Linked DNA regions of Canis lupus familiaris. The protein of the gene in region 1 purifies or fractionates together with the protein of each later gene. This does not show direct contact. Links are inferred from orthologs where the notes say so. Each region holds a gene or a part of one and is shown on either strand. Other genes may lie near its edges.

The links. Proteins that work in one complex are often made in the same cells at the same time.
Region 2: the proteins of PBXIP1 (region 1) and SLC27A1 purify together in Homo sapiens (co-immunoprecipitation; 3 studies listed by BioGRID and IntAct, with this or other methods). This does not show direct contact. The link is inferred for Canis lupus familiaris from reciprocal best matches to the Homo sapiens genes PBXIP1 and SLC27A1.

What each region holds. Positions count from the first base shown.
Region 1 is NC_049228.1:42,499,905-42,504,161, forward strand, and holds the start of PBXIP1 (pre-B-cell leukemia transcription factor-interacting protein 1), read left to right. Parts: upstream 1-1,457; 5' UTR 1,458-1,589; intron 1,590-2,231; exon of another isoform or gene 2,232-2,264; intron 2,265-3,643; 5' UTR 3,644-3,678; coding exon 3,679-3,729; intron 3,730-4,257. UniProt on the Homo sapiens protein: Regulator of pre-B-cell leukemia transcription factors (BPXs) function. Inhibits the binding of PBX1-HOX complex to DNA and blocks the transcriptional activity of E2A-PBX1.
Region 2 is NC_049241.1:45,746,696-45,750,945, reverse strand, and holds the start of SLC27A1 (long-chain fatty acid transport protein 1), read left to right. Parts: upstream 1-1,443; 5' UTR 1,444-1,672; coding exon 1,673-1,692; intron 1,693-1,910; coding exon 1,911-2,078; intron 2,079-4,250. UniProt on the Homo sapiens protein: Mediates the import of long-chain fatty acids (LCFA) into the cell by facilitating their transport at the plasma membrane.

The sequences.
Region 1 (4,257 bases):
GGCTTACCAACCTTTCTGCCTCCCCTGGTTGTTGCACAGTAGTGTCCACTCTGGTCTAGAGCTTTTGGCACCTGTATTCTGCATCCCTGGCTCGATTGAAGGAAAGCCTGGAAAGGCACAGAGCTCTTATACCTCATCTGATAGAAGGATCCCTGCTCCAGCCTATGGGTGAGGGAGGCAGTGGGACGGTCATTGCTGTGGTTCTGAAATGCAGTCCAGAGTCTGGATGTATTTTGCTTCTCTTTCCTTACCTTTCTGTATATCTTCTTGGGCCAGGTGATCTAGGAGCTCTTATTCCCCTCAGCCCGAGGCCTGAACTGGGCTTCGTGTGTTAGTATTTTATTTTATAGGCTCTGCATGCCAGAGATGGGCCAGGGGCTGGTAGGAAACTTGAACTGCAGCTGGCTCTCTTGCTTCTCATGCACACATTCCTCAGTGGGGTGGAAGGCAGGCAGCCACGTGGCCCAGAGAGTTGCTAGTGGTCGGTCCCCTGCCCCCTTCTCTTGGACCCTAGCATGTGAAGAGAAGACTTACGCAGGCATACCGCAGACTCTTCTGCCTGCCCAGCTGGAGCCAGCAAGCCAGCAAGTTTTGAGGCTGTGGGAAAGAAGTGAGGGGGATCTGGGCTTCTCTCCCCACCCAGTTTTGTGTTGTGTCCTGGTTCTGTTGCCCCTCTTCTATCTGTTGCTATTTTTGTGATGTCTTCCTCCCCACCGCCATCTCCGCCTTTTTGTAAGTGGCTCCTGGGAGAGGGAGTGCGTCAATCCTTCTCTTCCTCTCACTCCACTATTTGGAAGAAAGTGGGGGTGGCAGAGATGTGGGGGTGGGGGTCTTTTGTACGGTTGGATTAATAAAATGACTTGAAAACCCAGACAAGGACTCCCGGCTGTTTGTGCGCACGAAGGTCACCTGTGGGAAGGATGCGCGAGTGGTGAGGCTCCGTACGTGCCCGGGGGTTCTGGAAGCCCCGAGCGGTCCCGGGAAAGCCGGGGGGCACCCCTCCCCCCGCGTCCCTGAGAAAGCCTTTCCTTTCTGGCACATTCCCGGGCCGGGCCGGCGGCCAGGGCCTTAGGGACAATGCAGCTGGTGCTTGCTGCTGGGATTGGCGCCCCCCTCCCCCCGTTGTTCGGCTGGCGGTCAGGTGTAGGGGTTCGGAGGTAGGGGCCGGGGAGCACCGCCCGAGAGCTATTTTAGCAGCTCAGCGCTCGCCCAGTCCCCTCCCCCGCGCAGCTGCGTCAGTCCCGTCTGTCTGTCCGAGGGCCGACCTTGCCCCTTGGTCCTGCTGTCTCGGGAGGTGACCCCGTGCCTTCCGTGTCGGGTCTTCCCCCCAGGAAAGTAGGGGCAGTGTCTGCCGGCGCAGCACAGGGGCCGGCAGGTAGGCGAGCTCGGGTCCCACCCTGCGAGGCCCTGGCGCCCCCGGCTCTCGACTCGTCTCTTATTGGCCAAAAGTTTCCGCCCCCCCTCAGGAAGTCGGCTTTCCATTGGCCAGTCCCGGTCACGTGAGCCCCTCCCTCCCCGCTCCCTCCCTCTGGGGGCTGGAAACCCCGGGAGGCAGCAACAGGTCTGGCGAAGACCCGGGGCGCGACCAGGTGAGGCCCTGCGGGGCGGCGAGGGGGGCTCCGGGACCCCGGTGGGCCGGGGGGGGGGGCTGCCGGGCGTGCATTCCGCCGGGGACCCGGGGCGCGTCCCGGGACGGGAGCCGGCGCTCTGGCCCTGGGCGGGCGCTGCTGCAGAGGTTTGGGGGCCCCCCTACGGGGCGGAGGGTGGCTGGTCGGAGGGCACGGTGCCCCCTACGGCTGCCTAGTGGGAGCAGCAGAAGGGCCCGGCAGGCCCGAAAGCGTGTTTCTGTTGGCTCCTGCCTAGATGTGCGTGGGGAGGGGTGAAGGCGGCGAGGCCGGCGGGGAGAGGTGAGAACCGGCGAGAGGGCAGAGGTTGGGCTGAGGAGGAACTTCCTAATAAGGCGAAGAGACGCTGGCTGGGGGGCCGGGGCTGTCTTTTGAGAAATGGGACCAACCCATCGGGAGGGTCGGGGACCCTGAGGGCTGGGGTTACAGACGGCCTCCTGTTTGGGTCTCAGAAGTGTGGGTCCTGCTGACCCAGATACCGTGGCTAGTTTCCATGGAGACGGTGGGTCTGACATCACCCTGGTTGCCATGGTGCCTGGTTCTGGAGGACCAGAGTAGGCTGTACAAGGCCAGAGATAAACAGGGACTTCAGCCTGAGCTGCTGCCACTTCCTTCCTGCCACCACCTGTTAACAGCCAGGCAACCACTGGGGATGGGGAGAGGGTGGCCAGAGGGCTCTGGGGAGGTCCTGTTGGGTGTGCTATGGGGAGGCCCTGCAGTCATTCTCCCATCTCCTTGTGGAATGGCTGCTGGTGTCCGGGAGGCAGGTGCATTGGGGAAGACACCGTGAGGGCTCTGTCCCAGCTGTGGATCTGGAAAGGCCAAGGTTATTAGGGCCCTGTGCAGGACTTGCACCAGGTCAAACAGAACCGAGGCCGCGGAGGGGGTCCCCAAGAACTGCCTCTTCCCAAGCCTCACTTCCCTTCCTGGGGTTTGCTCACAGAGTCCTTTCCACTTGCTACCCTTTTGGCACCATAGGAAACAGTCCCTTATCATCTGAAGGACCACAGTCCAAGGCTGAGGGGGTCAGCTCATCTGTCCCTCCTGCCTTGTGCCAGGTCCCAGCTGAGGGGACAGTCCTGGCCTTGACTGACAGGACAGGTCTCCCTCTTCCTACCCTGCTTTGTGCCAGGCTCTGGAAGCTAGAGTGACTTCCCACTGCTGTCCTGCCAAGTCAGAGATCCTGCCAGGTCAGAGTGGATTAGCAAGGGGCAGGACCACAGCTCTGTTGTCTGTGGTTTTGCAAACTTTAAAGTTTATAACTGATAGCTGCCATTAAAGCCTTTCCCACTGGGCTTCAAGTTCCCTGAGATGAAACTCTGCAGATCATAAAGAAAGGAAACAGATTTTAGACCGGAGAGTCTGCATGACAAGGAGATTTACTGAGGGTACAGCGAATGGATCTAAGCTCTGCCAGCTGTTCTCAGGCCTGGCTGCACATGAGGACTGCTTGGGAGGTTTTAAAAAAGACCCAGGCCTGAGTCTGACCCTGAAACCAGTCAAATCAGAATCTTAGGTGATTCCAGTGTGCAGCCAGTGTTGAGAATCCTGAACCAGGGCTGACAGTGTGTGGACACTCTAGTCTGAAGCAGGCCACCGGGTCCTATCTTCTGAGCCCTGGCATAGGAGGTGGTGACTTTGGGAGAGTCTGGGTGATTCTCGCTCTTCTCATCAGCTGTTCATGCTTGGCACAGTCAAGTTAGCCAGCCTATATGGCCTTTGTGTTCTCTGACTCTAACCTGAGGGGGCTGGCCTGCATGGCCCCCAGAACCTGCCCAGCCCTGAGCTTTGACCTTTCAAGGTCAGTCCAGAGTCCCCAGGCCCCGCTGGTCCCCAGAGAGGTAAACTTCTCTGTGACTGTTGGCGGGTTTTGATTTGCTGAGAAGAGGTGGGGTGTTAGGGTTCAAGGGGTTGGTTCTGGAAGCTGCAGCCCAGCCTTGGGGACCCAAACAAGGCTGCTCTCTGCATCCTGCCTTTGCTGAAGGAAACTGGGTCTTGAAGAGCATGTTTCTCTGCAGGTGGCAGTGACGCAGCTTCTGGGACCTCTGCAACTATGGCTTCCTACCCAGGTTCTGACAATAGCTGGGTGTTTGCCAGCTCCGAGGTAGGAAGAGCAGGCCTGGGAGCCCCGTGGAAGAGAGGTTCCTGCAGGCCTGGGCTGCCTTCAGGGTGTGTCCCCTTCCTTGGTCCTGATGGTCACCTGAATCACCTCATGCTGGCTGCAGGGGAGCCCCAGGGGCTGGAGGAGGGAGATTAGGCCCCAGGAGTCAGGTGGTAGGACTTGGACCATGCCCTGAAAGAAGGGTACCCTTGGGGTCTGCTTTGAGAAGTAGGGACCAGCATGATCAGAAGACCCAAGGCAATGATAGGAAAGCCATTTTGGGGAAAACTGAGGCAGCCCATGGGATGAGGTGGTGATGTGGGTTAGAAAGTGTTGGAGTATCCCAATGGGGCCTCTAAAAAAAAAAAAAAAGAATGTGTTGGAGTGAAGCTGGGGGCAGAACCTGGGGACCCCTGAAGACCCAGGCACGCAGACCTCTTCCTGAGGGAGAATCACAGGAGGGCTTTGGGTCACAGGGACTCAGTACAGTGATTGCCTTGGGCGGAGGGTGAGCTACCCTCTGTGTGGCCT
Region 2 (4,250 bases), on another chromosome or scaffold:
TGACTCTGCTGAGCCACTGCCAAGAAAGTAGCCGACCAGTGGCTGGCTCTGGGCCTGTCCTCCTGATCTGCCTCCTTGCCCCCCAGTCCACCCACTCTTGGTTAACTGCAAGGACCAATGGTAGCATGTGGGAGGGGTGGGAGCCTGCCCAGCCCTGTCCTCTAAATGGTGCTGGAAGCAGGCCCTGGCCACCTCCCAAGGAGAGCGCAGAGAAGGTCGGCCAAAGCAAGGCAGAAAACAAGTTGGGGTGGGGTGGGCAGGGGGGCAAAGGAGGGGGAGCTTGGAGGGAGGGATCCAAGGCAGTGGCCTGCATGGGCACAGCACGGCAGAGCAGGGCGCAGGCGTCTGCAGGAAGAGCGGTTCTGGAGGGCCCACGTCTCAGGCTAGGTTTGGAATCCTGCGTCTTGGCCTCACCGTCCCTGCCTGAGCTTCTGGGAACCCGGGAGCAAGCAGCCCAAGACTGAGGGTCTGTGAGCCGCTCGCTCCAGGTCAGTCAGGGACCAGGTGGTGGGCAGCCAGGCCGGGCTGGCCCGTGCCTGATTAGAAGGGCTTCTGGGTCTCGGGCGGGCATTTGGGACCGAGGGTGTGGGAGGGTGGGGACCTGGTATGTGTGGATTTTGCCCTCCCTGGGCTCCTGGGAGGTTACCCCAGGACAAGATTAACCGACAAGATTTTGCGGTATGGATTTGGGATTGGTTGGGTCCTTGAAATGTTATCATTAATAAAACAGATGGGGGTTGGATTTAGCACCTTCTGGGGCCCCTAGCTGTGAGTTCAGGGCTCCCCGGGTTCCTGCGTGCCTATTTAAGACCCAAGAGGCACTGGTGCCTGGATTTAGAACAAACGGGGCAGGAATCCAGGACAGACAGGCCCTGGGTGTGAACCGGGACTTTCTGGTCCCGCGGGCTAGGAATCCTTCAGCTATCTGGGGCTCAGGCTGGAGCCACGCCCCCGGCCGCGGGCGCACGTGCTTTCGGAACGGCGCGCGGGGGCGGGCGGGGGGAGCGGCTTGGGCGTCCGGAAGACCGCGGCCGCGCTCCCCGGGCCGTTCTAGCCCCTGGGTCTCGTTGGCCGTCGTCTCTCTGGCCCGGGGCCCCTCTCTATGGTCGTGGCCTCCGGAAAGGGGGACCTCGGCTGAGCGGCTGAGGCGCTTTGAGCTAGACAGGTCGGAGGAGGGCCTTGGGGCGGGTCTGGGCTGGCCGATGGGGAGGGGCCTGGGGCTCGAGGTGCGCCCGAGTGAGGCCCGGAGGGTGACGATTGGGCCCAAGCCTGAGGGCGGTGCCAGTGGCCAGGGGTGGAACCTGGGCCTGGGATTGGGGGCGGGCCAGGCCCGGGGCTAGGGGGAGGGGCCTCGTTGGAGTGGGCGGGGCTTGCGGCTGTGGGCGGGACCAAAGGCAACCTGGGGGCGGGGCCCAGTGAGTGGCAGAGTGAGGGTAGAAGCGGGACTTGGAGGAAAGCGGGACCTGCGGAGAGGCTTGGGGACGGGGGTGGATCCTGTAACCGAGGACGGAGGCTAGGTCAAGGCAAGGGCTGGTCAAGTGGCTGGGAAGGACCTGTGTCTGTGTGGAGCCCATGAGTAGGGCCAACTTGGGTTCAGAGTCCTGCCGCTAGGTCAAGACACGGGGTAGGGCTTGACCGGGACTGACGGGGTCGAAGAGCTGCGTCTGAGGGCATGGCCTGGACTAATACTTGGTAAAGAAGCCTGAGCCGGGCTAAGAACAAGGCCTGTGCCCAACATAGGACGGGGCGGAGCCCTGATCCGGGGGCGGGGTCTGTCCTGGACCCGGCCAATTCCAGGCGCGGGGGCGGGGCCTGAGCCTGGAGGCGGAGCTCGCTCTGGGGGCGGAGCCAGCTGACCGTGGGGGCGGGGCCCCAGCGGCCCGCGGCCTCAGCGCTCTCCGCCTCCCCAGGATGCGGGCTCCCGGTGCAGGCTCGGCCTCGGTGGTCTCGCTCGTCCTGCTGTGGCTGCTGGGGCTTCCGTGGAGCTGGAGCGCGGCGGCGGCACTCGGCGTGTACGTGGGCGGTGGCGGCTGGCGTTTCCTGCGCATCGTCTGCAAGACAGCAAGGCGGGACCTCTTGTGAGTGCAGTCGGCGCCTGGGCCCCCGGCTGGGTCCGCGACTTGGGGGTGGTCAGGAAATGGGGGGTCCTGAGGGCTTGGGGAGACCGGTTTTGGAGACCGGGGGCGAGGCTTAGGTGAGATTGGGGCTGGGAGCGGGGCCGGGGCCCGAAAGAGTGACAGGTTGGGGGTCTCTGAGGGGAACCGCAGGGGACAGCTTGAGGGTCTCTGGAGGGAGATGAATAGGTTTCGAGATTCTAGAGGCTGTTTGGGAGACCTTAGGGAGCTGGAAGGTAACTTGGGGATCTTTGGGCAGCTGGTAGGGGGGTTCCCAACAGAGAACTGCGGCGATCGGGAAGCCGTGGGTATTTGGGGGTCTCTATGGGGACTTGGTGCCGGTGAGAGGCCCCTAGGGGCTCTTCAAGGATTCTGGTAGGTCCCTAACGGGTCCATAGTGGTGACTCAGTGGTCTTTGGGGGCTGTCAAGATACTTTGGATTTTTTAGAGCTTTCTCGGAGGGCGAGGGATGAGGGGGCTTCTTGGGGGATCTGTAAGGGACTTTTAGGGTTTCTGAAGGGTGTTTATCTCCTCAGGACCATTTACTGGTTTCTCTGTGGCCAGCGCACTCTTTGAGAGTTTGGGATCTGTGCAAGATTTGGGGGGTTCAGGATTTGTGTGTGTGGGTGCTATGTACTCCGATTGCTTGGGGATCTCTAGAGACTGTGATTTCTCAGGAGGGGATGCAGGTATTCTTGGAGGAAGATCTTTAGGGTGTTGCCGAGGGGCTTCCTTGAAGAAGCTGTTGGGGGTCCTCCTGGCATGAAATAGGTGTTACTGGGGATTCCCATCGGAGCAAATCTTAGTAACAAACCCCACATGGGAATGGCTGAGCACCTGCTGTGGGTTTGCCAGGCTGATCCTCTCAGGGGAGATGCAGGATGCAGGAACTCACCTATTGTAAAGGTAAAGAAACAGGCTCTGTGAGCAGCAGGGATGGTGTGGAGCTGGGGAAAGTTCCACTGCCAGTTGACTGGTTCTGAACCTTCTAGAGCTCATCCTTTTCTCTCCATGCCTTGACCCCTGCCTCTGCCCTTGGTCTTTCTGATATGCAGATTTGACCATGCAGTCTGTTCACACACCCTTCACAACCCCCGTCCTCTGCAGGAGGAAGACTCAACCTCCAGCTGGACACTAGGGGCTGTGACCTATGCTGGGATCTGCCCACTTGCCACTCCCCACCTCCGTAGGTTCACCTGACCCTCATATCAACTTGCCTTGTCAGACTCAGGATGTTCCTTCTGTCTGGAACATACTGGACCTCCTTTTGTCTGCTGATGCCTTATGATGTTGCCTCTCTCAGGGGACCCTTTGCTGAATTTTCCTACTCAGCACCCTCCCATGCTTCCTTGTTGCCCTTAGAATTTAGACCACATGAGGTTCCCGACCACGTCCCCAATCTCTTCTCCTTTCTTTTGCCACTCTTCCACCTACACTGGCCTTTTTGCTGTTCCTAAACATGCTCAGCCCTAGGGAGCATGCCCAGCCCTAGGGACTTTGGGCAGCAAGTATGCTGCTCCCTCTGCTTGGATTACTCTTTCTTTGCTCTTCATTTTCATCATGCCATGGCTTGAATGTCACCCCAGAGAGCCCTCTCCTGACACCGCGTCCCTGTATGTCCTCTCACCTTGTTGCTTTTTGGCAGAATGGCCAACATTTACAGAGTGCTCCCTCTATGCCAGGCAGCAGGCTAAACATGACTTCTTTAAGCCCTCCCAACAACCCTGTGATGTGGGTACTCTCTTGTCCCCATCTTACAGATGAGCAAACTAAGGTGTAGCATAGTTTGGTCACTTGCCCAGGGTCACAAAGCAGGTAAGTAGTAGGGACAAGATTTGAACCCAGGGGGTGTGGCTCCAAAGCTTGACTTGTAACCACTAGCAGCATTTGTCATTTGTAATTATTTAAGTCTCTTTCCCTCTATTAGGCTGTGGGCCCTTTGGGGGCACAGTGGAGGCTGTGTTGGTCTTCATAGCCCTGGCCTCCACGAAGGGTGGCACATGGCAGGAACACGGGATATGTTTGTTGGCTGGCAGGCCTTCCCTAGCTTCCTTGGGTTTGCCCAGGCCCCAGCTCTGCCTTATTGAGCTGGAGTGCCTGTTCCTGGCTGTCTCCCCTGTGGATGGGGCGGGAGCT